Struthio camelus: one gene and its partners. The protein of the gene in region 2 interacts with the protein of the main gene of each other region in a biochemical or structural test. Links are inferred from orthologs where the notes say so. Each region holds a gene or a part of one and is shown on either strand. Other genes may lie near its edges.

Region 1 (8,007 bases), on a different chromosome or scaffold from region 2:
TCCAAAAAACCATACAACAACCATGTTCCTTCCCTCAAGACTTCAGCCGCTCCTCTCTTCACCACATTCAGACAACACCCTGCCCTCCCTCACCAGCCTATTCTGGGCTCACATAGCATCACACTGCTTTTGCCACAAAACGCCCAACCAGCTATCATCCCCTTCCCTGGAGTCCCATTACTGTCACTCAAGCTTCCCCTCCAAATTTCCCCACCCAGCACTCAGTCTGCCTCTCTTCCCCTTTAAACTCAACCAGCATCTTCTGCCTCTCTTCTAGCTGTCACACGCAATAAGAACCCTAGTCTTTTTGTATTAGACACTTCACAATTAGCAGGCTTTTAAAACTATCTTATTTTCAAAATAGCTAAGGGAACCACATGTAAACACCACTTGCCACTATCTATACAAGTTTCCCAAGGAAACATGCTGAATGGAGATGTGGAATAACCAAACTGCCTAAATTCTACAAAGCCACAGAGAACTCTTAGTTGTGATGGCAGAGCATTTGCATAAAACCCCAGTCATTTTTGACATCTACAGATATAACCTTTCTGTGCTGCTTGACAAAGCTTTTCAGTGAGACAGACTGTTAACTCTTATTGAAATACTGAAAGTTTGCTTGAGAACTTCATTTGCCAGCTTAGCTTTCTGGAACAGGATGGTGCTAAATTGCACCACAGAGTAAATAAGAAAGGGCAATAACGTTTTAACTGAATGACTCCAACAGTCTGTCCAGGTGAAGAAAACTGACTGATGTAGCTGTTCTGGAATTACTACTATGCAGGCATTCTATGCAGGCATCTCTCCCCAATATAGACATTATTCTGGAATAAAAGTAATATTTTCCCCTCAAGAAAGCCATCTTGCCTTGTAAGAAAAAAACATTTTGGAACAGAATGTCCGCAGGGGGACGTGTTGTGGATTATTTATTCTAGTCAATGTACAGCTATACAGAAAAAAATTAATACAAGTGATGAGCAGATAGGAAAATAGTAATGTATTTGGTGGAAAAGATTTGGCACTATACTACACCACTTGCACTCATCTACACTTTCTTTCATTAAGAGAACTCAAAATTCTTCACAAACATTAATTAATCCTCAGAGTAGTTCTGGAACTAAAAAGCCATTATATATCAACCCCTTTCTACAGAGAGGGAAACTGATATAGAAATTAAATATGCTACTCAAGACCACATAGCTTCCAGTAGCAGAAAAGGAATTAAGCTCCCAAACGTCATTCCTAAAACATCCCTATATCCAATGTTATTAAGGAAAAGGGAGAAGACAGTGAAAATAATTGGAGGATAGAAAAACAGCCTGGAGAAAAAGAAAGAAAAATATTTGGGATGGAATGGAAGAAGAAGCAAGGAGAGAGATCACAGAACAGCAATGTCAGGCAGACACTCCTTACTGCACAGAGATGCTGAAAAAAGTGAGATGATGGCAGCTTTCTGTGGAAAGGTTGAACATAAGTGCTAGAGATGAGGAATGGGAGCAACAAGGGAGCAGCAAGAAAAAGGAGCAAAAGAAAATGAGGAAGGAGAAAAGATAGAGTGAAGTAGTAAAAAAAAAAAAATCTAGCTGCAGCCTCACCTCTTGGCACTGGTAGATAGCAGCTTAGAGTTTTTACTCATGCTGACTTTGCTTTCCTTCTTCTTAGGTGTGCTTGCCTCTTTCTCTGTCTGTTGGTTGGAGGATGAAGATGAGGAGGAGCTGGTGCTGGCCCTTGAATCGTCATCCGACATAGCGACCCCCCCACCACACACCCCAACCTGGAGAGGAGACACCATGGGGCGTGGGGAACAAACAGTGAACACAAACACACACAGAGAAAGGCAGCTGACAATCTTGCTCTGTGTCTGGGTCATGTTCCTTTTAAAGGGTCCTCTTGTCTCCCTCGCCTCTTCAGGTCCTACAGTCCAAGCAGGAGGAGCAGTAGCCTCCCCTGCACTAGCAACACTGAGGAGGAAGGGACTTTTAAAGGGACTCTCAGAAAGCAAACGAGGAGTAAGAGGAGAAGGGACTGGACTGCAAGGATCAGGGAAGCCCAAAGCAGTTCCTTTTAATCTTCCCTGAAACTGCACACACAAGAAGAGCCATCACCACCCACCACTATCCAGCCTAGGGGTGCAGGAAATAAAAACAGAGCAGCTTCGATCTCTTGCGTCCCCTGCAAGCACGCGGGGAAGGTGGGAAGGGACAAGAAGGACACTGCTGCCAGCACTAAAATAAAAGTGGGGCATCACCAGCAACAGGGGGACACCCCAAAGGAGGATCTGTAACCTGCAGGGGAAGAAACCTGTGCCTGCTGGATCTGGTGTCAGGAGCATGTGGGGAGAGGGGGGAAGGGTGGGAGAAAAAAAAAAAGGAACAGCTAAATAGGGGCTGGAGTACGCAGAGGGGACCCACTGAGGCCCAGGGCACCGGGGGGGCACGCCAGCAAAGGGGAAAGGGAGCAAAGGGTCTGTGCTGGTGGGGGAGGAGAGCAGAAGGGCCAGGGCCTACAAGGGGTGAGAGCAGAGGGCCTGGGGAGGGCCGGGGGAGGCAGGGGGCAGCGAGGAGAGCAGCGGGGCGAGGACAGCCGGGTCCGGAGGGCACCTCGGTGCCCCCGGGGGACAGGGCCGGAGGGCGAGCGCGGCGGGCGGCCGAAAGCAGGTCCCTACCCGAGAGGGGGCACAAAGTGCTGGGGCAGGGAGGTGCGCCGGCGCCTCGGGAGCGTGTGCGGGCAGAGGGGGCAGCTGCGGGGCCGGCGGCCGAGCCGCGGCCGGGCGCGGGGGGGGGGGGGGGGCGGCACACGGGCCGACCCGGGCGGCGGCGGGGAGGGAGCCGGCGGCCGGGGGCTGCTGCCGCCGCGCTGCCCCCCCGGCCGCGGGCCCCGCAGGGCCGGGCAGCGCCGGGGCCGGGGGGACAGCGGTACCTGACAGCCCCGGGCAGGATCCCTCTGGCCCGCCGCCTGCCTGCCTGCCTCCCTGCCCATCGCCGGGCCAGCCCCTGCCCCCGGGGGCCGGCCGGGCCGGCGGGGAGGGCAGCGGGGGGTCCCCCGTGCCCCTACCTCTCCCTTTGTGTCTGGCTGCTCCTCCTCGGTGCGGCTGGGCCTGGCCACTCGTGTCTCTCTCGCTGGGAGAGAAGCGGAAGTGCTGCAACAGCAACTATTAAACAGGCAATGGCTTCCCTGGCTGCCTTCCCCCCCAACACCGAGCGGGGGCTCGGTGGGCGGCGGGGGGGGGGCGCGATCCGCCGCGGCCTCGCACGGAGCCGGGTCGGGCCGGGCCGGGCCGAGGGGGAACCGAGCGGCGGCGGCGGCGGCCGAGCCCCGGCTCCGGGGCTGGCGGGGGGATCCCAGCAGCCGCAACCCCCCCGCCGCGATGGAGGAAAGGGGCAATGGAGGGGGGCAGGGACGTGAGTTTGTAATGGAGACCCCCTGGAAAGTAATCTGCGAAGGTGTGAAGGGGGGGTGAGGAATAAACACCCTCCCCCCCCCGCCCCCGGCTGTGCTTTCTGCTTCAGGGCGAAAGCCCCAAGGGGACAAGCTCGAGGCAGGTGGCAGGGAGAGGGGACAAGCTCCTGGTGCTGCTTTTTTAAGGCTGAGAGACGATTATCAGGGTGTGTGGGGGGGGGAGGCTGGTTGTTTTCCCCTTGTTCTTGCAACTGTTTCAGCCCCAAAGCTTCTCCCTTTCCTCATCTGCTTTGTCCCTCCAGCAGCAGCAGCAACTTCTCACCTGTCTCAGTTGGAAAGCAATAAAAAAGAGAAAGAAAGAAAGAAAGAAAGAAAGAAGCCCAGTCCAAACCCCCCACCACAACCAAGCCAAAAAGGATCCCCTCAGCAGCTTTTCCACCTCTCACCTGTTCCAGCCCTAAAGCAGCAGCTGTTTCTTCCCTTCCCTCTCCTGGATCAGCCCTGGATCAACAGCAGGAGCAGCCGCTTCCCACTTGCCTTCGCCCGGAGTTCAGGATTCCATTGTCCCCCACACTGCACTTGGTGACATCACTGACACACAAAGAAGGGGCACTTCGTGATGTCATCAACGCATGCTGGGAGAGAAAACAAAATCCTGGGCTCGGGGCTTGGCAGCCACAGAAAAGAAAAAACGCTGCTTCGGTTTTCCCAAGGTAGAAGTAATAGGGATTTTTTCTTTTTTTCATTTTTTTTTTTAAGTCCCCAAATTGGGAGCCCGTGTGCATGACGGGCGCTGCATTCAGTCGACTGGAGTGCTGTTGTACTGGATTTTCGAGGCTTTTTACTCTTCTCCCCCAAATCTTTGCTGTCGCTCGCTCACTCTCTGCCCACGAAGCGAAAAAAAAGTAATTTGGCAAGAGTGACCCACCATACCTACCACATGTTCAGAAGAACAGTACACTCGGTCACCTTTCCCTGTAGTCCTTGTAGGTTGCCATAGCTCTTAATTGAAGTGCTGGACCTATTCCTGAAGGGACAATAGGAATGAGCATTCCTATCGACTTTTCCGGGATAAATTTGGCTCAGTGCCATCAGTTTCCATAGCATATCAAGAGATCACATATCGAATTACTTGATATCTTTAGTGGCCGAAAATATAATGACCATCTCCACCGTCCAGCATCGTAATGAATAGGGCTTCGTATTTGTCATCGTTCTTTCGGTTTCCAGGACCTCCAAAGTGATCTGCAGGCTGAAATGCGCGATATTCGGACAAAAGCACGGCCAGCGACATGACGACGTCACGCCTCAGGAGTCTAAGGGGTTACATTATATAACCGTAGCCCGCAGGGCACGGAGGGACACCGCGACCCCCCCCCGCGCGGCGTGGGGCGAGGGACACCTCTGGTTAGAGCCCCTCCGGGCGGGGGGGGGGAGAGGAAGGAGGAAGGGAGCCGGGCGCTGACTACTTTTGAAAACCCAGCCTTCCCGTCTCGGGCTTTCACCGCATGACCCCGGCTGGGTGACACGGTGCTGCCCGCCCAGCCCGGGGACAGCGCCGCGGTCGCCGGCTCCGGGCCCCGCCGGCAGGGAGGTGCTGCACCCTGCCCCCTCGCGTCAAGATGGCCCCAGCGGGCGGCGGCCGTTAACGGGGCAGCGCGCGGCGGGGGGGGCGACCGTTGGGCGCCCTGAGGAGCCCCCCGCGCTGTGGGTCCCCCTGCCGCCCGGCTTGTCGGAGCCCCCCATGGCAAGGTGCCTCCTCGGGGTGCTGCCCTCAGGCTCCCCCGAGACCCAGCCCTCCAGCCCTCCGCTCGCCGGCACGGGCATCCCGCCTCGTTGAGCCTGCGGCGTTAACACAAAGTTGAAATGGCCGGGGCAGCTCTGCTGCGGGGGCTGCCCTAGGACGCCCTGGTGGGGCGGGCGATGTGAAGCTGACCCTGGCGGTGGACCTCTTCTGGGGCACCTGCTCCTTTTGCGAGGTCACAGACTTGAACGGGGATGAAAACCTAAATGTTGGGTTGGGTCAGATGCAGAACGCCCGTGGCTTCTTTTGGGGGCACTTTGGGGGATTTTCCTCAAGAAAAGGGGTGTTGGGCCAGCTGAAAGCACAGCTGCCTGGGGCTGTTGAGCCCCTCCTCCACGAGGCCGTGGCTTCACAGGTTTGTAACTAATCATTGTGGTCGTGACACTGACCTTTCACCATTTCAATCCAGTGATCCTTGGGTCAGAGGCGCCCCTGGAAGGGACACCCACGTGAGGACAGTGTTTCCTTTTGTCACCTTTCCCTCCATTTCCTTGGTACAGTGCATGTGCTGTTTCCCTCTCCACTTTCTCTTTCCCCTCTCTCTTTCTGCACCACTCAGCAGCACCTCATTTCACGTGGGTTTCCCAAAGCTTCTCCCCAAACTTGCTGCCCACTCTCCTGTGTAGTTAAATAGCACAGTATATTAGGAGGATACACCAATGACATTGTAAGAGTCCTTTCTGACAAAATAAGGAATTCCACTACAATTTCACATTTCCTGTTGTTGTTGTTTTTTGCTAACCCTCCTCTTCAGTCTTTGTTACCTGCAGTACGTAGACCGTGGTGAATTGGCCTCCAGAAGCAGCTTGCTAGCAGAGCCCACCTTTCTACTTTCAACTATGGGAACAAAGCTTTTGAACTCGTGGTCATCCTTCCTCCCAATAACTTTGGAGCTTTGGCATATCTGCCATTAAACAAAGGCCTCAAAGGCAAATAAATTTCATGAAAACTGGCATTTAGATAAAGGAGGGAGAGCTGTATCACTTAGTGCTCCTCACTGAAGGGGGGGGGGGCGCAGAATTCAGCTACTTTATATCCAACAGCAATCAGCCAGCCTGTCAGCATTCTCCAAACTAGCCTGTGAAGGCAGTGGAGGATGGAACTGGGAATGTAGTGGTACGTATCAAGCAAACGCAGGAGACAAGAGGACACAAAGCAGGTGATCAGGCTTCACAAAGTTCACTGCTTATGGAACAAATTTTTAAAAACAGAAATTCTTCACTTTCACTAAAAACAAACCTCCAGTCCATTCCTGTCATCACAGGAAACATGCACCAAAGTCAAATGAGACAACAGATTAATAATGAAAGCCCTCCACTTCTGTAATAGAGGGCAGAGAAAATGCAAAGATTATTACAAAATCCCACACACATTTTTTCCTTTTTTTATGTTAATAACCTTCATAGGGGGTTATCAATAAACTAACCTTTTGTTGCAGCACACAGTCGTGGGTAACCCTGTTCACAGTAAAATGATGACCAGCAGCAGTGGTTATTTACTTTGAAGCTTACCTAAAAATGCATTCTCTGAAAGCACCTACTAATGTCATTACTTGAGCAGCTGTTACAGGGGCAACTTCCATTTCATGACTCACCTCAGAGATCAGCCAACGTGCTGTTCTCTTGACTGCAGCCAAGAAGCCAACTAATGTGCCATCCACTCTCCAGAAGCATTTTTGCGGCTTGCCTTGCTCCAGCCCATGATTGTCCTCTCAGTCCTGCGTGGACACTGAAGAACCGGAAAAGAGTCGAGGACATGGTCCTTACTCCAGAAAAAAAGGAAGACTAGCTCCCCTAATCCAACCTCTTTCCATCTTGGGAATTTTGACAAAACCTCACTGATTGCCTGCTGCCTTTTTTTTTTTTTTTTTTGGTAAAGTGTGCGTTCACTTTAGCAAGTGACCTTTCCTTCTCAACAGTCCCCCCCCCCCCCTTTTCTTTGTCAAGTTCTGCAAAGGACTTGCAAAGGAAAACTGACCCAGATTACTCAGTCTCCCTGTGCCCCAAGTTTTTTTAATCCATGGCACTAGCTCAGTGTAGCAACTGAATAGGATTAGTCAATTTTCCCTCTGGATTAAATTTGGAGGAGGCTGCAAGGCTAGATGACTAGAATCGAGTTGCCTTTGGGGCTTTGAGCTTAATTCACGGCAGAAGCTAGCCAATTCAAATCACACTGAGCCTGCTGTTAAAGGAAGGTGACTAGGATTAGTCCCTTTGTACTATCTCAACTCCAGATACATTCTCAGCATTATTGCTGGCTGGTCTGTTTGGGCCTGAGCCAAAGCCCCTTACATCTCTGTGAGCCTCTCCACCAGCTCCAGTGAGTTTTGCATCAGGCCTTTTGTGAAGAGCAGAAAAGAAACAATCACCTGTTTGGGTCTCCTAAAGTCAGCTCGCTGCTAATGTCACGCTCGCAAGCAGGAATGCCTGAAACAAACTGATACCTCGCGCAGACTTGTGATGACAAACTTTGTCCTTTCTTTGTGACCCTATTATACAATGTCAGGCAGCAAGGAAAAGTTATGACTAGCTCACTAGCTCAGGACTTATGACACAGCTGTTTGAATAAAGCTAGGTGGAAACTCTGAGTGGGAACAAAAGAGGAACTGTATTCAAATGAGAGAAAATGTAACAGAGGAAACTCAAGTGCTCATTTCTATGACATAAGGGTAGTGAACTTACAGGCTTACCCTATGGCTTCCTTCTTACCACTATCTTCCCATAAATTAATGATGCATTCCAACTTCCCTTGCTGTAATTCTCTTGAACAATATGACTCTTAATCCTTAGAATTGTATCTTTTTC
Region 2 (7,158 bases):
GATACGGGGTGACAGCAGCTGACAACCAGGTGACAGTCGGCGACTCTTCTGTTGTTGGGGGGGCGCAGCACCCCGGGGGGTTGACACAGGCGACACCAGCTGACGCCGAGCGACACCGGTTGACACCGCACGGCAAGCGGGTGACAACCGCGGGGCGCGCGCGACGCAGGGGGCGGCGGGGGCCCGGGGCACCCCCGGGGGTGGCAGCGGGCGGGGCGGGGCGGCACTCACGTTGGCGGGGGTGGCGCTGGGTGACGCGGGCGGGACGCTGGGGACGGCGGCGCGGTTGGAGCCCGTCGGCGGCTCAGACCCGGACACGCGGCGCTTCTTCGACAGCGGGGAGCTGGACATCTGCGGGGCGGGTGACACCGGGTGACGCCGGCGGCACCGGCTGACGCCAGGAGGGACTTGTGGGGGGGGGGAGGTGACGCTATGGGGGGCGCAGGGCGGCAGCGGGAGGGATGTTGGGGGACGCCGGTGATGGGGGGGCAGAGAGCGGCGCCGGGTGACAGTGGGTGACACCGGGTGGAGCTGGAGGAGATGTAGGGTGACACCGGTGACACCCAGGTGACGCCTGGGAGACACGAGGTGACACCACGAGGATGGAGGGTGACGCCAGGGAGACACCGGGGGCCAGCGAGGAGGGTGTACGGCTGTACCGCGGACACCGGGTGACAACCCTGAGGCACCGGGTGACACCCAGCAGGCACCGGGTGACATGTGGGAGATGTAGGGTGAAACCGGGGGGGTGCAGGGTGCCACCAGCAACACCCGGGGGAGGGGATCGGTTGACACTAGGAGTATCGGGTGATGCTCAGCAGGGTGTAGTGTGACACCAAGTACCACGGGGGGGGGGGGGGGAAACACCAGGTGACACGTGGGAGATGTAGGGTGACACCAGGTGACACCGGGGGGGGGGGCAGGGTACCACCAGCAACACCCGGCGGAAAGAAAACGGTGACACCGGGGGTACCGGGTGACGGCTGGTGGGGTGTAGGGTGACACCAGGTGCCACGGGGGGGGCCACCGGCTGACACCCCGTGGTACTGGTGACACCGGGAGACACCACGTGGTGCCGGGTGACATTGGCGCCGCACACTGGTTGGGGGTGGGGGCTTCCCCGCGTGGGGGGCGGGGCCTTCCCGGTGGGGGGCGGGGCTTCCTGGTGCTGAGGGGGAGGGGGGGAACCGGTACGGGGGGGGGGTTACCGGTACCGGGGGGGGGGGGGGGTTACCAGTACCGGGGGGGGGATTACCGGCGCCAGGGGGGGGATTACCGGCGCCGGGGGGGGGGGGGGAATAACCGGCACCGGGGGGGGGGGAATAACCGGCGCCGGGGGGGGGGGATAACCGGCGCCGGGGGGGGGGGGGAATAACCGGCGCCGGGGGGGGGGGCGGAATAACCGGCGCCGGGGGGGGGGGCGGAATAACCGGCGCCGGGGGGGGGGCGGAATAACCGGCGCCGGGGGGGGGGCGGAATAACCGGCGCCGGGGGGGGGGGTTACCGGCACCGGGGGGGGGGGGTTACCGGCACCGGGGGGGGGGGGTTACCGGCGCCGGGGGGGGGGGTTACCGGCGCCGGGGGGGGGGGGTTACCGGCGCCGGGGGGGGGGTTACCGGCGCCGGGGGGGGGGATAACCGGCACCGGGGGGGGGATAACCGGCACCGGGGGGCGGATAACCGGCACCGGGGGGGGGTTACCGGCGCCGGGGGGGGGGGGTTACCGGTACCGGGGGGCGGATAACCGGTACCGGAGGGGGGTTACCGGCGCCGGGGGGGGGTTACCGGCACCGGGGGGCGGATAACCGGCACCGGGGGGTGGATAACCGGCAGCGGAGGGGGGTTACCGGCGCCGGGGGGGGGGGTTACCGGTACCGGGGGGCGGATAACCGGTACCGGAGGGGGGTTACCGGCGCCGGGGGGGGTTACCGGCACCGGGGGGCGGATAACCGGCACCGGGGGGTGGATAACCGGCAGCGGAGGGGGGTTACCGGCGCCGGGGGGGGGGGTTACCGGTACCGGGGGGGGGATAACCGGTACCGGAGGGGGGTTACCGGCGCCGGGGGGGGTTACCGGCACCGGGGGGGGTTACTGGTACTGGAGGGGGGTTACCGGCGCCGGGGGGGGGTTACCGGTACCGGAGGGGGGGGTTACCGGTACCAGGGGGGGGGTTACCGGCACCGGGGGGGGGGGTTACCGGTACCGGGGGGGGGGGTTACCGGTACCGGGGGGCGGATAACCGGCACCGGAGGGGGGTTACCGGTACCGGGGGGCGGATAACCGGCACCGGGGGGCGGATAACCGGCACCGGGGGGGGTTACCGGCACCGGGGGGGGGATAACCGGCACCGGGGGGCGGATAACCGGCACCGGGGGGGGGTTACCGGCACCGGGGGGGGGTTACCGGCACCGGGGGGGGGTTACCGGTACCGGGGGGCGGATAACCGGTACCGGGGGGGGGTTACCGGTACCGGGGGGGGGTTACCGGCACCGGGGGGCGGATAACCGGCACCGGGGGGCGGATAACCGGCACCGGGGGGGGGATAACCGGCACCGGGGGGCGGATAACCGGCACCGGGGGGGGGTTACCGGCACCGGGGGGGGGTTACCGGCACCGGGGGGCGGATAACCGGTACCGGGGGGCGGATAACCGGTACCGGGGGGCGGATAACCGGTACCGGAGGGGGGTTACCGGCACCGGGGGGCGGATAACCGGCACCGGGGGGCGGATAACCGGCACCGGGGGGCGGATAACCGGTACCGGGGGGGGGTTACTGGTACCGGGGGGGGGGTTACCGGCACCGGAGGGGGGGTTACCGGCACCGGAGGGGGGGTTACCGGCACCGGGGGGGGGTTACTGGTACCGGGGGGCGGATAACCGGCACCGGAGGGGGGTTACCGGTACCGGGGGGGGGTTACCGGCACCGGGGGGGCATTAACCGGCGCCGGGGGGTGCCGGGGCCGGGGGCGGCGGGGAGGGGGCGGCGAGGGGCCCGTACCAATGAGGCTGTCCAGGCCCGCCGCCGGGTCCCGCCCGCTCCGCTCGGCTCCTCCGCGACAAGATGGCGGCGGCGGCGGGGCCGGAACAAAACCGCCCTCCCTTTCCCCTTCCTCCTCCTCCCCCCGCCCCTCCCCGCCCCCGCCGCCCTCCCATTGGCCGCCGCCGCCGCCGCGCCCGCGTCTCATTGGCCGCCGCCGCCGCCGGGCACGCCCCCCCTCCCCCGCGCTCCCGCCCCTCCCTTCCTTCCCCGGCCGCCGCCGAGTGCCCGGATGTTGCGGGCTCTTCCCCCCCTCCCTCCGCCGGCCCGGGGGAAGCTCCGCCCCTTGCGCATTACGCGTGCGCGCGCCGCCAAGCCGGGGGGAGGGGGCGGGGCCTCGTGACGCAGCACCGCGCTCCCCGCGCGCACATGGCGGCGGCGGCGGGGCGCTACGGGGGCCCGTAGGGGCCACGCGGCCCATAGGGGCCTATGGGGGGGGCCTATAGGGGCCTATAGGGGTTGTGGGGCCCCATAGGGGGCCTATAGGGGCTGGGGGGCCTATAGGGGGCCATGGGGACCATGGGAAGGCTATAGGGGCCTATAGGGGTTGTGGGGCCCCATAGGGGGCCTATAGGGGCTGGGGGGGCTAGAGGGGGTCATAGGGGCCTATAGGGGTTGTGGGGCCCCATAGGGGGCCTATAGGGGCTGGGGGGGCTAGAGGGGGTCATAGTGGCCATGGGGAGGCTATAGGGGCCTATAGGGGTTGTGGGGCTCCATAGGGGGCCTATAGGAGCTAGGGGGGCTAGAGGGGGTCATAGGGGCCACGGGGGGCTATGGGGCCTATAGGGGTTGTGGGGCCCCATAGGGGGCCTATAGGGGCTGGGGGGGCTAGAGGGGGTCATAGGAGCTATAGGGATTGTGGGGCCCCATAGGGGGCCTATAGGGGCTGGGGGGCCTATAGGGGGTCATAGGGGCTATAGGGGCCACGGGGGGCTATGGGGCCTATAGGGGTTGTGGGGCCCCATAGGGGGCCTATAGGGGCTGGGGGGGCTAGAGGGGGTCATAGGGGCTATAGGGGCCACGGGGGGCTATGGGGCCTATAGGCATTGTGGGGCCCCATAGGGGGCCTATAGGGGCTGGGGGGCCTATAGGGGGTCATGGGGGCCATGGGGGGCTATAGGGGCCTATAAGGGTTGTGGGGCCCCATAGGGGGCCTATAGGGTCTGGGGGGGCTAGAGGGGCCTATAGGGGTTGTGGGGCCCCATAGGGGCCCTGGGGGCCTATAGGAGCTGGGGGGGCTATAGGGAGTCATAGGGGCTATAGGGGTTTTGGGGTCTCATAGGGGCCATATGAGCCTATAGGGGCTTTAGGGTCCGGGGGAGCTATAGGGGATGGGGAAATATAGAGGATTGTGAGAACTTACAAGGCCTGATCTGTTGGGCAGACCTTATAGGTGCTACAGGTAGTATATAAACTGTAACAGTTTATGAAGTCCTATATGAATATACTAACTATGGTATGCACAAGTGCTATAGGTGCTTTGGGGGCCATTGAGGCTATAGGGGCTGTGGGGGACTCTAGGGGCTGGGGGGCCTATAGGGGCCCTGGGGGGGGGCTTTAGGGGCCACGGGGGCTATAGGGGCTGCAGGCACTATGGGAACTACAGAGGCCTCTGAGGGCTGGGGGGGCCCTATAGGGGCTGGGGTGGGCTGCGGGGGGCACTGGGGACCGTGGGGAGCTATGGCAGCTATAGGAGCTGCAGAGCCTATAGGGTCCAGTGAGGCTTTGCCAATGCAAGTGGCATAAAGACTGTAGGTGCCTATAGAAACTTCAGACATATGGTACCTCTGGAAGCAAAGGTACCTATAGGGGCTGTAGGTGCTGCAAGAGCTGCAGTGATTCATCGCAACGAGGCGGCTGGGAAGCTGTGTGGGACCTATAGGGGCTGCAGGGACCTATAGGGGTTTGAAGGACTGTGGGGTCCACAGAGGCCGTGGGGGCCGTAGCGGCTACGGGGGGTTGTGGGGCTGTGCCTATAGGGGGTGCGGGAACTATGGGGGGCTATAGGGGCTGCAAGGGGCCTATAGGGTCTGCGAGGGACAACGGGGGGCTATAGGGGCTGCGGGAACTATGGGGGGCCATAGGGGGCTATAGAGGCTGCGAGGGGCCTATGGGGGCTGCGGGAACTATGGGGGGCCATAGGGGGCTATAGGGGCTGCAAGGGGCCTATAGGGGCTGCGGGGGCCAACGGGGGACTATAGGGGCTGCGGGAACTATGGGGGGCCATAGGGGGGGCTGTGAGGGGCCTATAGGGGCTGCGGGAACTATGGGGGGCCATAGGGGGCTATAGGGGCTGCGAGGGGCCTATAGGGGCTGCGGGAACTATGGGGGGCCATAGGGGGCTATAGGGGCTGCGAGGGGCCTATAGGGGCTGCGGGAACTATGGGGGGCCATAGGGGGCTATAGGGGCTGCAAGGGGCCTATAGGGGCTGCGGGGGCCAACGGGGGACTATAGGGGCTGCGGGAACTATGGGGGGCCATAGGGGGCTATAGAGGCTGCGAGGGGCCTATAGGGGCTGCAGGAACTATGGGGGGCCATAGGGGGCTATAGGGCTGCGAGGGGCCTATAGGGGCTGCGGGAACTATGGGGGGCCATAGGGGGCTATAGGGGCTGCGAGGGGCCTATAGGGGCTGCGGGAACTATGGGGGCCATAGGGGGCTATAGGGGCTGCGAGGCACTTATGGGGGCTATAGGGGGCTCTGGGGCGGTTTAGGGGACCGCAGTGGCCGGGGAAGGGGCTATAGGAGCCTATAGGGGGGGCTATAAGGGGCTATAGAGGGGCCGGGGCGGCCCCCGGCGGCGGCTCTAGGACCCGGCGGGCTCCGGGGGAAAAAAAGCGGCCGCGGTGACGTCACCGCGCGCCTCGCCGCGGGGGCTGCTGGGAGCTGTAGTCCGCGCCGCGCGGGGGCCGCCGGGAAGGGGCGGGCGGACCCGGCCCGGCAGCGGCTCAGGCAGCCGCCTTCTGGCGGGAGGGGCCCAGGCGTCCGGGCACCCTCCCCCCCCACCACCCCTAAAGGGGCCCAGGCGTCCGGGTGAACCCCAAAAGGGGCCCAGGCATCCGGGTGACCCTCCAAGGGGCCCAGGCGTCCGGGGACCCCCAAAACGGGGGCCCAGGCATCCGGGTGACCTTCCCAAAAGGGGCCCAGGCGTCCGGGTGACCCCTAAGAGGGACCCAGGCATCCGGGTGAACCCCCCCCAAGAGGGACCCAGGCATCCGGGTGAACCCCCCCCAAGAGGGACCCAGGTGTCCGGGTGAACCCCCCCCCAAGAGGGACCCAGGTGTCCGGGTGAACCCCCCACCAGGGGCCCAGGCATCTGGTGAACCCCCCGCCCCCAACCAGGGGCCCAGGCATCCGGGCATTCCTTCCCCTCTTCCCCCCCCCCCCCAAAAAAGAAGTGGGCCCAGGCGTCCGGGCAGCGTCTCAAAGCGGGCCCAGGCGTCCGGGCGTTTATTATTCCTCTTCCCCTCTCCAAAACGCAGGAACGGGCCCAGGCGTCCGGGCCGTTATCAACGGTCCTAGGCGGTCGGTCGTAGCGCCGAAGGGGCCCAGGCGTCCGGGTCAGTCGCCGGCGGGGGGCAGGGGCAGCCGCGCCGGGTCGTAGTAGTCGGGCGTCACCAGCGGGAGCCCCTGGGCCTCGCGCGCCCGGATCTGCCGCTCGGCCTCCCGCCGCGCCCACTGCCGCAGCCTGCCGGGGGTGGGGGGGGGGCCCAGGCGTCCGGGTGACCCTCCGAGGGGTCCAGGCGTCCGGGTGACCCCCACCGCCCAAAAGGGACCCAAGCGTCTGGGTGACCCCCCCCCCAAAAGGGACCCAGGCGTCCGGAAACCCCACAAAGGGGCCCAGGCGTCCGGGTGAGCCCTCTCAAAAGGGGCCCAGGTGTCCGGGTGAGCCTCCAAGGGGCCCAGGCGTCCGGGGGAACCCCCCCCCCAAAAGGGACCCAGGTCTCCCAGTGAACCTCTGAGGGGCCCAGGCGTCCGGGTGAGCCCTCCCAAAAGGGGCCCAGGCATCCGGGTGAACCTCCAAGGGGCCCAGGCGTCCGGGTGAACCCCCTCCGAAAGGCGCCCATGCCAAAAGGGGACCCAGGCGTCCCGGGCGCCCACGTCAAAAGGGGGCCCAGGCGT
Region 3 (7,745 bases), on a different chromosome or scaffold from region 2:
AAACCCGCACACAGGCTACCTAGAGAAACCTCAGGATTTACAGCATTTACCAGCCTCCACACACTACAACAGAGGTGGGAGCCACCTGTGGGAAGCAGAGAACAGTTAAACCCACATGGAAAACACCTGATCTATTCTCAACACCTAGGGTGCAGCCTCTCCAAGGAAGCCCAACTGACAACCACAGGTTGTGTCCTACACATCTGTACTGTGTCAGTATTGGGATATCCAGGCTGTTTTTTCAGAGGCCTCCTAACACCTTTTGGCTCCAATCCTTAAAGCCTTGGAAGCTTACATGGAACAAGGTGCCTGTGTTCCAGTCTCTAAACAAAGGAGATGCCACACACAAACTTTACTCGTGTGTTCCTACGTACATAAGTCAGTAGCAGACAGACATTTAGTAAGGCTTTTACAGGCAAAAAGATAAGGAGTTAATTATCCTCTTCAGGCTCACTTACCCTTGCACAAGTAGCACTATCTTACCTTTGGTGGTAATTTAAGAACATCCAGGCAAATCCTTCCAGCGGAGTCAATGTTAGGATGATAGATAGGGGTCAGAAAGCGAATCTTTGGGGGCTCAAATGGGTATCTATAAAGGATAGAAAAAAAAAAAAAAGGTTCTTTTTATATTTGTATTCCATTTGCCACATCACCCAAGTAATGCCATCATTTTCTTCTCCCAGCCATTTACTAACTGGTGTCCTTTCCCACAAGTTTTTGGAGAAAGCAATGCTATGCCTGACCACTCTGCCTTTGATGCTTTCAGCTGTCTCTGTCTAGCACTTTCTAGGTAGATAGCTCTCCACAAAGAGGCAAATGTGATAGGAGGTTTTCTACTCGTGACTGAGCTACTTTTCAGAAAGCTTTGAAATGATACAGTAAGCTAGAGATCTTATCAAAACATTTTTAGATTGTTAATCACACACCTTGGTGCTTCCAAAGTGAAATAAGCATATTAGCAAACTGAAATAAAAATTACATTCCATAGATGAAGGGCCTCACCTAAAGCTAATCAACACATTCTTTGTGAGGAGGCTTAAGGAAAGATCTAAGCACTAGTACTCTATCTCCAATAAGCTAATTCTGCTTTTTGGCATACTTCTATCAACCATCTTGCATGAGTTAACTTATATTTGAAGGAAAAACACTACTCTACTTCCTTGACTAGAGTAACTTCATGTCACTGCCCACTTACCTTTCAGGAACAAGTATTTCCAGGTTGAATATTCCCTTCTCATATGGCGTCTCTGCACTTCCTAAAATCTCTTTAAAAAACAATATTAAAACACAAGGATTACATTCAAAACACTTGAACTTGTCCAACAATTTCCACATAACACCCAGTTACGCAACTGTAACGCTGCTGAGATCCACCAAAAAAGCTGCCACCTTATCACGAAACCACTCTCAGCTCCATGTAGTCAAAACGGTAGCCTGACCTACAGAGGGTCCAAACAATATTTAATTATAAAAGCTAAATTAAAAGGAATGGGGGAGGACAAGATAAAAGAAAAATCAAGCAAGGATGGGATTGCCACATACAGTCTGCATTACTAGCGCTCAGCTGAGTTATGCTCTGTGCAAGCAAGTGAAAGGCTGGGAGAAGATGTGACGTTTCACTAACTCCTGCTGGCTGAGCTTTTGTCTTCACACTGTGGCCAACTCTAGATATCTTCTCCCTGTTTGCTGCAACGCTTTAAAGCAAGTGCCAGTTTCAACTTTTGAAGGAGAGAAAGATCAGGTTCCAGTCTGCAAGTCATAATACAACAATAGCTAGAAGAAACAATAGAGAACAGAAGCTCAGCACCAACAGGTGGCATTTTGCATAAAGGTAGGAAAACAGTTAGCATAAGGAAGGGTAAAAACATCCAGTACTGCTTCTTTTCATGTTCCTTCTCAAACTCAGAGCCAGAATATGAACTGTTCCTAAGAGCCATAGGCTAAATTATATTAAAAGGAAAGCTAAAAAAGAGCCTAAGCATTTCCCAAGAACTCCACAACTCCATGCAGCCTATAAAGCTTATGCCGCCCCCCCCCCCCCCCCAACAAATCCAGTCTAGCAGTAAATTCTAGCGCATCCCTTACTCAAAGGCCCCACCAGAAAGGTACATACGAGCTCGTAGATCATCTAGCTGGTTTTCGTTTTGCCAGCAGGTAATGCCTGGAGGTGGCTCTGTGGTCAGGAGAGAGAGCTCCCTCTTCAGTCGCGATGCTCTTTGCATTGTGCTGAAATCACAAGAGACTGAATTTTATAGCTGGCAGCGCTGCTGCCCCTTCATGAACAGCATCTCGTATTGAGACGTTTTTAGCTACGGAGAATTAACTCAGGTTTCAAATTTATCCACGCTTTAGCAGTTGCCTTAATGCGAATCCCAGACTCTCACCCCTCTGCGAGGCCGAGCCTGCTCCTAGTGCTCTTCCTGGCACTCAGCTGGAGGGGGGGAACCAAACCCCCCTTCCAAACCAGTCCCATCGCCCCAGGGCCCAGCTGAGCCTAACAGACCCTCCTAGTCCATGACTGCACTTGACACCCCGAGAGGGACTGTCCAGCCCTGGGGCGCCCCTCGCTCCCCGGGGGTGGGCGACGAATTATTGCCCACGGGGCACCCACCGTCCGGCCAGGGCCGACCACCCCCCTCGGCCCCCACCGGTGCCCCCCGGCTCCACCCCCCACCCCGAAGGGGCGGCTCTGCCCCTTCCTCCGTGAAGGGACCCCCCCCCCAATTCCCCCAGAGGTGCCTCAGGGACAGCGATGCCCCTCCGGGCGGCGACACCCCCTTCCCCCAGGGCCTTCCCCCCCCTTCAAGGAACCCGGAGGCCCCCTGGGGGCTACCGACCCCCCGCACCCCCGCCTTAACGCTGCCAGGAGTCACCTTCTCCCCCCTCGGCCGAACCAGCACCCCACGGCCTGGGAGCCCCCCTCAGCCTAAACAACCCCCCCCTCCCGGCCGGGCCCCCCCTCACCCTCGCAGCAGGCGGCGGCGGCGGCGGCAGCGCGCGGGAACGCCAGACTCTCCACCCCCCGCCCCCCGCTGCCTGGCAACGGCGGGACCCCCCCCGCCCCCTTTCACGGCGCTGATTGGCCACCAGAAAACCTCGCCCCCCCCCGAGGCGGTCGCTCGAATTCGAAGGGAAGGCGCGCTGCCATTGGAGGAGCCGCGCAGGCGGGCGCGCTAGCCACGCCCCCAGGGCCGGGCCGGGCCGCGGAGGGGGCGGGACGGGAGTGGGGGCGACCGCGGGGGCCTGTGAGAGAGCCGGGCAGGGGGCGAAGGGAGGGTAGGGGCGGCCGCGGGGGCGTGTGGGACAGTGGGGGAGCGGGAGCGGCCGCGGGGGCGTGTGGGACAGTGGGGGAGCGGGAGCGGCGGCCCCTCACCCTGCCCGCCCCAGTCAGCCCCATAAACGCAGCGAGAAAGCACCCCAAGCACCCGCAGACCGAAGGAGCGCTTCGGCCCCGGTGGCCAGCCGAGCGCGCCCCGCCCCGCCCGGAGGCCCCTCCTCTGCCGCGATGAGCGGCCGGCGTTGCGTAAGCTCCCGCCGCCGGCCCCCCGGGGAGGAGGTAAGCGTCCACCGGGGCGGGGGAGGGGGGTTAATCCGGCCGTGAGGAGAAAGGTGCCCCGAGGCCCGGGCAGCTCCCGGCCTGGCGGCGGCCTTGGGTGACCGCTCTGCCCGACCCCTTCTTCCCCCCCTCCCCGTTCCCGACGCCCTCGCGCGTCCGCTTCCCCGGGCGAGGCGACTGGAGGGTTTTCTCTTGGCAGACGCCGCCCGTCAGCGTTGCGTCGCCTTCGCCTGCCGCCGCGAGATGAGTAGCTTGGAGGTGTTAGAGCAAAGGCAGCCTCGGGTCTGACCCAGTACCCAGCCTGGGTTTATGTAACCCCGTTAACACAGAAATGCATTCTGTTTCAGGGCCAGGTAAGGGATTGTTTGAAAGCCGGTCAAATTAGAAGACAATCGAACGGCTTCATGGTGACAGTAATTAAGCTTCAGAAGCCCAAGCACGCGGTTTCGGGTGCCACTTGCAAAGCCAGCTGGCCGACACGCGCCTCTATAAAGCTTTATAACTGCAGCGCTGTCCCTTCCTCAGTGGGCAGTGGATTTAACTAAATAAACTGGAGGACAGAGAGCGTCCACAGAGGGAATTTTTTTTTTTTAACGTTGAAGCTTTCCTTCCTAGAGGAGCCCGTAGGCCCCGCTTTGTACGCGGCCGATCTTGCTCCGTGGGCTCGGGGAGGCAGCCGGCGGGAGGGCTGGGAGCGCTCTGCCATCCTTCTCCTCTATCAGCGATTGCGCAAAAGCCTTGAGCTGCTCAAAACACCTCTATGCGTGCGTTTATGCACCGATATTTAGGCATGTTTAAACCTGGCTGATGAATTTCCCAATGCTTGCAGGACCGGCGAGGCTGGATACAGACGGTGATGCTCCGGTGACCGCCACATCCCTCCAGTGGACCTCTGCGTACGGAGGGAAACACTTCCCGGCGGGAGAGGTGCCATCAGTCCTGGTGGGGTTTCCCATCCCAGCGGGTCGGGCGGCTGCCGGTAACCCGCAAGGTAAGGCTCAGCCTTGCGATTCGGGCTGTTCCCTGCTCTGTGTCGCAGCGCGCCTCTCCCAAACTGTGTGGCTACGTCCAGTGCAAGGCACGTTTTCCTCGGAGTTGGCTGATTTTCAGTTAACAGAGGTAACGCAGGCACGGCCGGGGGTCGGCCCGCTCTTGCTGAGCGAACAGCCTCCTGCCGCTGGTTCGCTGCGAGTTAGAAGAACAACTGGATAAATCCTAACTGAAGGTGACTGACGACATCTGCTCCACCTTCCCCTCCATCACCCCCGGCCCAGGGGGTCTTCCCCTTCCTCCCGACGAGGCAGCCTGTTTCTGAGGGCCCCCGCGGGCTCCTGGTGCGGTGTTGCCTCTGGTGTAGCAGCCTCATTTCTGACTGTCCCCACCGGTGTAACAGCCTCGTTGTCGACAGCATCGCCTCTGGTGTAACGAGCCTCGTCTCTGATGCCACCAGTGGGCCTGCGCACCCAATCCCTCCTCGTTAACTCCCACCGCCGCCCTGGGTCCCAGCTCATCCCCTCACCAGCGTGGCCCAGCACAGCCCCGCTCACCAGTGTGGGACCCCCCACTACTCCTGGCCCCTGCACCAGTACCACCCATTACCCCCAGTCCCCTGCACTGGGATCCCCCAGAGCTGCCCCTCACCTGCCCCCTGGGGTCTCCCATCACCTCCAAGCCCTCTGAGCCCCCAGACCCAATGGCCCCCCTCACCCAGTATCTCCCAGTCCCGATACTGGTGTGTCCCCATGGCACTGCCCTGTCCACCCTGCAGGTAGCGCTCCCCCCACCTCTGGCAGGTGGAATGGTCCGAGCGGCCCGGCTGGAGCAGCACGGGTGGCTCCATTCCCGCAGGGCAGGGATGCCCCCGGGGTGGCTCCGCGCAGAGGCCCCACGCTTCGGGCAGCGCCGAGGGCTGTGTGGGGCTGTGACACCCTGGGCTCGGAGTGGCCACACGTAACGTGTGGCGCCTGAGTTCAGGTTTGCCCCCTGAGCTGTGGGGGCCCATGGGGCCCTGTGCTTGGGGCAGCCCCATAGGCTCTGCAGGGCCCCAGGCTTAGGGTGGCCCCATAGGCTGTGTGGGGCTGTGAGCTGGGGGCTGCCCCATAAGCTATATGAGGTTGCGGGGCTCCGGGCTTGCGGCAGCCCCATAGTCTGCAGAGCCATAAGGCCAGCTGATGCAGGCGGGCTGCTGTGCCCCTGCAATGGCATGCCAGGGACTGTTTTAGCGCCTTTGCTGTGATTTGTTACCCAAAAACGCTGGCTGGCTGGGTGCTGAGCACATGGGAAAGTCACCTTGTTTTTCCTGTTCTTCTGCAACAAAGGGGTGGTGCCACGGCAGGGTGGTACCATGGTCTCCTCCCTGGAAGCCTCAATGCCGGAACCAAGGCTCAGCACAGAGCTTCCTGCAAAGCCCAAATCCCCATGCTTGGCTGTGTGCTGCGCTGCTGGGCTCTTGCAAGCCTGTGAGTTTGCGGGTTTAGGTTATTGGGAAGTTGCAGTGCGCTGCATCGTGGCTTGGGAGCGCAATTGGGTTTGTCTCAGTAATGCTGATGGTGGTGTTTTGGGAAGAGGGCAAGTCAGATCATCTTTTAGGAGGCTGGTAAAGCTGTTGATTATGGGCTGAGCAAGTCACCTATTTGGGCCATTTAGGAGGGTGTGAATAGCGCAATTTGGCTGGAAGAGCTGAACTGGATTAGAGAATATTGTTTGTTTCTGTGCTGGTCTAATCCCTTAATTCTTGTTTGCCTGGTAATGCTAAAAATTAGAAGCAGGTGTGAACACCACCTCGGAGATGGGAAATGAGCTTCACTCCTTGCACATGGCCACAGAGAGAACGTGGAAGAGAGCAGGTTGGGAAGGATGTTGGCACATCGAGGCTTTGGCACAAACCCAAGGCGCTGGCTGAGCTAGTCGTGTCTGCTGCCGTTTGCTCTGACTCCATCACTCCATGAGCAGGGCAACGAGCAGCTTCTCAGACTGAGAGCCAAGGTCAGCCCTCCTGCAAGTTTCCTAAACTCAGCTGAAACAGTTCAAGGGGAAATTAACGTATGTTAATTCCTACATCAGCCTTATCTTAGAAAAGTGGTAGTTTTGTACAGTTATTGTTATGTAGCTTTGCCACAGGGAGAGGAGAGCTTTTCGCCTGAAACTTAGAGGCACAGAGTGATCTCCTGGGGCTAGGAAGAGTGGATAAAACCAGTGGGAAACTGAGGCTTATATGTTTCTTTGGGCTTATGTGTTTGATGGATTTTTCCTCTGAGCTGCTCATGCAGGTTTTGCAGCCAGCCAGGATAGCTCTCCTTAAAACAACTTAAAATCTTGTTGATGGGATGGAGAACGTGATGTGTCACTTGGTGAGAAAGTGGCAAACCTGAGCTCAGGACAGGACCTTCCTCTCACAGCATATGTTTTCCAGCCAGCATCCTGAGTAAGAAAGCGATGTTGTCAGAATAGCAGTATGTGCTCCTGTATCAGTGTTGGGCTGTGCTTTGCTTTTTGTTATTTCACCTTGCAGCCTTACTGCCGCGTAAAGTGAGCAGACGTGTCGTGCCTTTCAGATCTGCCTCCTGCAGCAATCCAGAAAGGCGCTTTGCTCCTAGGGCGAGTGCTACATCGGGTCTTTGATGGGATGAAGGCTCCTGCAGAACTGTTCTCCCTGTGAGCCCATTGTGTGCAAAAGGCAGCAGAGGTTCTGCAGCCACAAGGCTCTTTGTTCTTGAATCATCTTGCTGTGGTCTATGGAGAGTTTGCTGACAGATGCTGCAGGCCCCATCAGCAATGATGTTTCAGAATGTTATTGCAGTAAATGCAACTCCAGCAGCTCTGTCTGTTTTGATTCCTTCCTTCTGGTGAGCACTATCAGCACGTAATTGAACGTTAGGGTTTTAATTTTGGGGCTTGAGTGATTCATTTGGTGAAGAACTGTTTTCTGTGCAGCTAGGTGGTGATACAGTTGCTGAATGGTGGGACCTGGCATGTAGGTATGTGATGGAGGAGGAGCAGCTTGGTCCTGTTTCTGCTTTTCTCTCTCATGAAAGTTTGTTACAACGCAGACCAGACTTGCGATGGAAAGGACTGAGAATTGTTCAGAGCTCTGTTTCTAATTGCTAATTGACCTTGTTCTTTAATAGTGATTGGGAATCCCAAAAGACAACAGTTTCTCTTTTAAGAGATCTCAGAAAGACGCCAGGAT
Region 4 (7,249 bases), on a different chromosome or scaffold from region 2:
AGCCATTTGTGACGTTCTAACACCACTAAGTCATACCTCTAAAGCAAGTCATCTCTTGAGCTTACAGATTCATTCATTCACGCTGGTTGCTTAAACCCTACGTTCCTAAGTAACTAATCTGAGGACAGAAAATCTGAAAACTAGGCGTAAATCTGCATCCTCTGTTTCAAACCCTTAGCAGGACCTATACTGTGACCTTTTTAACCGAATTTGGGGAAGTACTGAAAACAGAGCGCTCCGCAGAGACAGGGAAAGCTACTGCTCTCCTACTGGGCTAGGCCACAGTTTGCACATAACTAACAAACAGGCTGAAGAGCACAGGGCTGCTAGTCAACCCGAGAGCCAGGCCATCTGCCAGCAGTCGGTCAAAAAGAGGAATGCCAACCTCATTTCAAGCAGTTGGCTAGATTCTGCATTTCATTATGGTCAGAATATACACACGATTCCCTATGCTCAATAGGCCGTAGCTAGACAATACCAAGCCTGCACACAGATCAGAGGGAAAAGGTCTTTTCCTAAAGCCATTTACTTGTGTACATTTGTTACTATGCAAAAAGAAAAGGGGATCTTCTGATTCTACAGCTATTTCAGCCTTCTATGGCTCGTCCCTTTTCTCTGACCTATCTTTCTCTCTTCCTTTTCCTTTCCTGATTTTTTAAATTACCAGTAGCAGTGGAATTTACTCATTCCTTTCCATCTAAGGCAACCAGCAACAGAATATTTAACTCTAATGTTAGAGTTAGCAGGATAGCAAAGGTCAAAAAAATTCTCATCCAAGAGTCTCTCCTAAAGACTGAAGCAGGTTAAGTTTTCACCTCTGCAGCTATGACATTTCAAAACAGTACTCCGCACATTTTTGAGACTACAATAGCTAGTCATTCAAATCCTAAACTGTATGCGCATCTAGCGACCTAGGGCGAGCACAGTACAGGAGCTGTTCATCATAACACAACTAATCCAGGATTCAAAAGCTATAGATTGCCTGCAGACAATATATAAAGCACATACAGAAATAAACAACCCACACCAACCTATCATAGACAATAATCCTGTAAGAGTCTAGAGGTGGATTCCCTCCTCCATGAAAACTGGAGTTTTTAGGTCTTTTTTGTCTGCTGCCCTTCCTCCCCTGCTCTTTCCTAGGGCAGCAGAAAGCATTCCCATGCCATTACACATCTTGGAAATAAGTTGTGTGAATTGCTCCTTTTTTTTTTTCTCCTCTTCAAAAAGTGGCTGAAGAAAAAATGCCAAGGGACTTATGTGCCAGCTTACAGGACCGTGGATCTCTTGGTTGTGTTCACAAGAATTATTAAAAACATGGGAGGGGGGAGGGGGAACCACACACACGGACATCAGCTTCGTGGCCAAGTTCTTACCACTTCATGATGAATACCAGTTCCACTGTATTATGAAACAGTGTTCTCTCTCATACCTGAGATATATTCAGCATTGTATGCTGTGCACCAAGGCAGCTGGATGAGCATCAAATTAATTCAGTCTATAAGATTTGTCTTCATTCTTTCTACTGCTTACCATTCTGAGCAGTAAGCATAATTTAGTCTTTGCCTCACACAGGCTAAATGCTACTCCTGCCTTGTTTTTCCGTCATCTCCTCTATTCACCTATTATATAACTTTAGTCAAAGCAAAGATAACACTGGATTGCCTTTAAAGCATATTTAGCATATTCTGTGTTCTAGCGTTTTACAACGGTTGCCAACTTTCAGTGTGCTCAACCAACAAGAGCTTCACAGTGTTATAAATTATTTGTGGCATTCATTCACTCGAATGAGAAACAATGGTGCTATTATTTCCAATGAAGACTAATGAACCTTAGTGGGATAACTTAGTAACTCTTACAAAAGTACTGATCACCAATTCGAGAGCTTCAGGTCACACTTCTGCGAACAGAGCAGGAGTTAGCAGCCCAGCACAAGCATGCACGCTGGCTACAGGACCAAGCCACTGGAGAAGACTCACGTTGGCGCTGCAGTGCAGCTAACAGTATCCGCCTTGAGTGCCTCCAGTCCAAGTCACTCAAGTCTTAAGGTGATAAAGCACTCAGAGGGTCAGCCAGAAGTACCCCGAAGTTGACAGTTCTTACAGAGCTTGGTAAGTAAGTCAAAGTAAGGCACTGAACACCCAGCGCTAACACACCCATCATCTAAAAGCCGGTAACTCGGAGGGCGCTTAACAGCCGCCAGGTTAGCCTAACTCACAGTAGCAGGAACGCCTTCCTCCGCACGCCTCAGGACGCGGGTCAAGCGCTCGCACAGCGCAGCCTTCCTCGCACAAGCGCTAAAACCAGGCAGCCTCCCCCCGCCGCGGGCCCCGCAGCTCTGCGGCCGCCAGGCTCTCCCCCGCCGCGGCCGCGGCCGGCCGGCCTACAGGCGCCGGCCTCCGCGCGTTAAGCGCCGCCGCGGTACCCGGGCCTCGGCCGGCGCTGCGCGGCGCGGCCCTCCCCGGCAGCCGGGCCGGGCCGGACCAGGCCGGCAGAAGCAGCGCAGGCCGCGGCCCCCCGCGGGCGGGCGCGGAGCCTGCGGCGGCGGCGGCGCAGGCCCGGCCCCGCGCTCCCATTCATTCCCGCCGCGGCGCCCAGGCCGCGCCCCGGCCCGGCGGCCGCGGTGCCCGCCGCAGCATGGCGGGGGTACCGAGGAGGACCGCCCGGACCGGACCGGACCGAACGGGACCGGACCGGACCGGCCCGGCGGCCGCGCCCCTCCCCCCGCGCGGCCCCGCTCCCGGTCAGCGGAAGCGGCGCTCCCTGCCCTGCCGGCGGTGCGGGCCCCAGCCCGGCCCCCCTCCCTCCCGCGGAGCGGCGGCGGTGACGGCGGCGGCGGCACCTTGATGATCCTGCGGGGCAGCCCGGCCATCTTGTCGCGTCGCGGTGCGGTGCGGTGCAGGCTCCGTGAGTCTCGCCTCCGCTCGGGGCTCACGCGCAGCCGGAAGTAGCCCGCGCCGCGCTTCCGGTGGCGCCGCCCTCCGCCGGCGCCGCCCGCGGCACGCCGGGCAACGTAGGCCGAGCCGCGCCGGGCCGGGCCGGGGCCCTGCCCGCCGCCCGCAGCTGCCGCCGGGCGCCGGCGGGAGGCAGCGGGCCATCAGCGCCGCCGCCGGGCGTCCGTTAGCAACGGGCGGCGCGAGGCGGGTGTAAGATGGCGGGGGAGGGCGAGGCGGGCAGCAGACGTGTGGGGCTGCCGAGCCGGCCCCGGTTACGGGGAAGCAGCCCCGCGGGAGAGCCGTGTGCCGTCGGCTGCAGCCTCAGGGGCCGCAGCCACCTGCCGGCGGTCGCTCGGCACGGACCGGGTCGAGGCTTCATCAGCGTGTGCCGGGCGCCAGCACGGTGCCCGCTTCCTGCTCTTAGGCCCTAAGCGTGTCCCTAAAGTCCGCAGTCACCAAGGCATCTTAGAACATCATGACTTTGTGAATTTCCTTCTTTTTGGCCGAAAGATTCCTTGTGTAAAGTTAGAGGTCGTTTAGGTAAGTGTAAGTATCACGCGAGCATCCCGTGACACACTGCTAGAGCTGTGCAGCAGTAGTAGTAGCATCTAGTACCTCACATCATTATTGCTGCTGTACTGATGATGGGAAATAGGGACAATGCCGTTTGCCATAGGTTGCCAAGCAGGCTAGCAGCACAGCCAGGAATCGGACCGGGATACGTGATTCCCTGTCAAGTGTTTTCTCCTGGCTTCGAAACAGGACTTGTAGATGGCCTATGCCATTTCCATATGCTCTAGTAGAGTGGCAAGCGCTCTGACACTGAAATCTGGAATGTGTAATTGCTGACAGGCTGTTATCACAGAGACTACAGACATTTTATAGCTTTTTTTTTTGGCAGACATATTACATGGTGGTTATGATAACAGATGTCAGAAGAGTGGTGTGTCTTCCTTCACCCTCCCCACAATATTTCCCAACAACAGACCTAGTTTTTCTTCTTTGTCCTGCTCTCTGAGCCATTGGCACTACAGAAGCCAACTAACAAGTATTGAGTTGTGCTTCACTATTCGGTATCCTCAACTGGTTGTACACACCAGTAATTTCAAATTTCATGCAAATTCATTAAAGATATGTACCTCTGTAAACTCTTGTATACATCCTCAGCCCTTTAAACACTTCATTGCTTTCCTAACTTTAATGCTGTAACTTTCTCAGAAGTCAGGAAAATCAACATCGAGGTGACATGCAACACAAGTGCATGAAAACATGTTTGCAGAATGTGGGTTAAAGAACCTCCCTCATTCTACAGTGGGTAGGGTGAGTTTGTTTGCATGTGTTATTGGCAAATTCGCTGTGTTTAAATGTGGTCCTTTAGCACATCCTCATCTTGCTGCTTATACATTGAACTCAAATTTTTTTAAGTGTGGATTTTTCATTTGCTTAATTATTACAACCTGTTGCTACTACATAAGTATGACTAAACTCGATTGCTTAGATATTTTTATGTAATCATCCCCTTTACAAGACTTATCATCTGACCTGAAAAGGTGAAACATTGATCTCTAGAGAAAAAATTTGTAAGGTGGAGCCTGTTTTATCGACTGGATATTAACCCAGTTTTTCCCTAGCTTCACAGGTATGTAAGTATCTGTAGCATACTTGGTGCTTTATAATAAACAGTTATAATATAGGCTGCGTGGGTTCTCCTCTTGATGATGCACAGTGTCTTATTGTTTGATTCTGGTGGTTAGCGGTATTGGTGATTTATTGATTGATGGCTGTTTTTTTATTCAAATAGGAGAAATCACACACACAGATGTGAAGTCTCTCCCAAGTGACTGTACTGCAGCTTCCCACCTCTTTGAAATGTAACAGGGACAACGAGTCTAAAAGAAATTTGTGCTATGCAGAATGTGCTTGATATGGGCAAATGTAAACCTCAGGCATTTTAAACTTGAAATTTCCAGCCTGGGCTCATGTGGCAGGTTTAGAACCCGTGTGGTACTAAAACTGCTATCCAGCAATCCTTATTTCATTGAAAAATTGTGGGGGCTATATTTAGTACCCATTTCTGGTACGCAGATCTTCACAGATGCAGGTTTACTTTGCAGTAAATTTTTAAAGGCCTAAACATAGTAATGTCTTCTCAAAATGTCTGTCACTTGGGAGAGCAGTGGCAGTGTAAATGAATTAAAAAAATGTAGTGACAAGCACAATGTAGTGTTGACCAGCATATAAATAAGTGCTTACCACTGTGCAGCATGAGGACGGGTTAAAGCATCTAATTGCTTTTGAGGAATGGGATTACAGCTAACTTTGCTTAGGGAGTCAGGAGAGAAAGCGGAGGGTGGAGGGTTATGGAAAAGATAGAATTAACATTCATATAATCTTGAGGCTTCATGAATAATTGAAAATATTTCTAATCATGTTGCTATGACACCCAGTAATAACTAGGAGTCTCAATTCTGACTTAGCCAGTATGCTGACATATGCAGGAGGAACATATATATCTAAGTTATTTATAATGTTCTCTCCACGTTATCTGAACTTCACATAATACTGTAGGCAGTTTAGGAACCAAAACCAGAAAGACTTCTGCCCTACCCTAGTAACCCTTGTACATACTTGCCAGCATCAACCAAATCTGAAAATACAGGTGGAGAGGCTGATTCCTTGTGAATTTTATGAAAATAGGCAGAGAGAGGAAATGGAAGTTGGTAGTCCCATAGGGGGAAAGACTCCATGACACCAAGTCTTATTAGACATCAGAGAATCTTCAGTGGGCCATAGCTTCAAGACCAAAGCCATTAAAAAACAAACTCTGTTGTTACTCTGCTTGCCGAATTACTTCTTTTTCTTTGTTTCTGCCTCCTATTTGTCATTGTTTTCTTTTATCCTTCTCCTGGAATACTGACCATTAAAGAGCTGGCGTTAGCGGAGGAAAAAACACAGGCCAAAAGGTGAATTCAGGCTCAGTGTGCGAATAAAGTGCAACCTACTTTCTTGAAAGTGCTGCAGCTTCTGCTCTGTGAACCTTGCTCTTCATCTGCTGGGGGCAGCGAGAGAGTGGAGCATAGTTGGCTCAGACAAATGCTGAGGAACACTGTCTTCAGTGTTCCCTTACAGGTGTTGTAGACCAAGAATCTCACTTCAGTCTGGGGCTGCAACAAGTCTGTCTGGCAAGCTATTGTGTTTTGATAGTTTTCATTGCTCAATAAGTGGCCTGTCACATGCTGGAAAATTTGCAGCTTTCATGACTCCTCTCTTTCTGCCTCATTTTAGAAAGAGGTTTTTCTAGTCCACTTGCTCAGAGATGACAGTGAACAAAAATCTTGTTTTCTACTCTCCTATCTACCAAAATTTAGGTCCTTCCCATAAGTCATTCTAGCTCCCTAGAAGAGTTGCTGCAGAGATCCCTGAGTATCCATATGGGTGCCAAAAAAGCCATCCAGACTGGCTACTCCAGAATCCTGGCTTTAGACTTTGGCTCGTTGCGCTGCTCCCGTACCAAGTGATATCTTCCATGACGGGATACAGTAAAAAATATCCTTCTTTTATAATCTTCTAAAATTCCCAAAGGAATCCCAACCTAAACCTCTAAATCAGAGCTGGAACCCAAGACATGTAAGTGCCCAGGGAGCTTTGTCCCTTATACTAGCCATGTTCCACTGAGATTCTCGCATCTTCCAGTTGTTTGCCACCCCAGTGTCCTTCCAAACATAGGATTTTCCACTCAGCCATTATTGCCATTGTAATCTGGACTGCAGCCTACACAGCTCTGATCTGCTTAGCCTCCATTTGGCATGTCCCTTGGAAGGCTTCCTTGGAGAAGCGCCCCTGGTGACCCAGTGCAGTATGGCTCTGCTCTTCACTTCCATTGGTAGAACGATACTCCAACACTCCCGCTCTGGAGTTCAAGATTATCACTAAAATGTGTTTATTCTTCCCTGCCAGATCATATATTTTGAGCAGTATGGCACAGAGGTTTCTTATCTTATTTCTTTTTTCTTCAAGAAAGACTTTGCAAAGCCACATATAGCAGTACCATTAAAACTACCTAAAGAAAGTTAGAAGTTTCTCGGTAGTCATGGGGCCCGAAAGGAGAAAAGGAGGGGAAAAAAAGTAGATCTGAAAAACTAGATTTCCACAGTGTTATCTGTGTAGTTTGTCAAAACGTGCAAAGTATTTCAACCATCCTTTTTTGCTAAAATAAAGATTTGATGGGAAAAAAAATGATCCGCTTTCATCCAGAGTATTATAATGAAGTCTTGCATCCTCATTTAGACAGCTGCCTTCCCTGACTCAACCTG

What was found.
Region 1: of the proteins of UBA1 (region 2) and ubiquitin-conjugating enzyme E2 E1, one has a biochemical effect on the other in vitro, tested with the Homo sapiens proteins (9 studies listed by BioGRID, with this or other methods). The link is inferred for Struthio camelus from reciprocal best matches to the Homo sapiens genes UBA1 and UBE2E1.
Region 3: of the proteins of UBA1 (region 2) and UBE2T, one has a biochemical effect on the other in vitro, tested with the Homo sapiens proteins (4 studies listed by BioGRID, with this or other methods). The link is inferred for Struthio camelus from reciprocal best matches to the Homo sapiens genes UBA1 and UBE2T.
Region 4: of the proteins of UBA1 (region 2) and UBE2N, one has a biochemical effect on the other in vitro, tested with the Homo sapiens proteins (10 studies listed by BioGRID, with this or other methods). The link is inferred for Struthio camelus from reciprocal best matches to the Homo sapiens genes UBA1 and UBE2N.

What each region holds. Positions count from the first base shown.
Region 1 is NC_090943.1:44,085,966-44,093,972, reverse strand, and holds the start of ubiquitin-conjugating enzyme E2 E1, read right to left. Parts: upstream 3,001-8,007; 5' UTR 2,980-3,000; coding exon 2,920-2,979; intron 2,758-2,919; exon of another isoform or gene 2,666-2,757; intron 1,775-2,665; coding exon 1,596-1,774; intron 1-1,595. UniProt on the Homo sapiens protein: Accepts ubiquitin from the E1 complex and catalyzes its covalent attachment to other proteins. Catalyzes the covalent attachment of ISG15 to other proteins. Mediates the selective degradation of short-lived and abnormal proteins.
Region 2 is NC_090979.1:729,714-736,871, forward strand, and holds the start of UBA1 (ubiquitin-like modifier-activating enzyme 1), read right to left. Parts: upstream 3,017-7,158; 5' UTR 2,998-3,016; intron 352-2,997; coding exon 232-351; intron 1-231. Other genes in the region: NDUFB11 (NADH dehydrogenase [ubiquinone] 1 beta subcomplex subunit 11, mitochondrial), read right to left, coding at 6,598-6,724. UniProt on the Homo sapiens protein: Catalyzes the first step in ubiquitin conjugation to mark cellular proteins for degradation through the ubiquitin-proteasome system.
Region 3 is NC_090965.1:3,944,270-3,952,014, reverse strand, and holds the start of UBE2T (ubiquitin-conjugating enzyme E2 T), read right to left. Parts: upstream 3,007-7,745; 5' UTR 2,965-3,006; intron 2,227-2,964; 5' UTR 2,223-2,226; coding exon 2,114-2,222; intron 1,266-2,113; coding exon 1,196-1,265; intron 590-1,195; coding exon 484-589; intron 1-483. Other genes in the region: cryptochrome-1-like, read left to right, coding at 7,744-7,745. UniProt on the Homo sapiens protein: Accepts ubiquitin from the E1 complex and catalyzes its covalent attachment to other proteins. Catalyzes monoubiquitination. Involved in mitomycin-C (MMC)-induced DNA repair.
Region 4 is NC_090942.1:51,333,106-51,340,354, forward strand, and holds the start of UBE2N (ubiquitin-conjugating enzyme E2 N), read right to left. Parts: upstream 3,010-7,249; 5' UTR 2,873-3,009; coding exon 2,843-2,872; intron 1-2,842. UniProt on the Homo sapiens protein: The UBE2V1-UBE2N and UBE2V2-UBE2N heterodimers catalyze the synthesis of non-canonical 'Lys-63'-linked polyubiquitin chains. This type of polyubiquitination does not lead to protein degradation by the proteasome.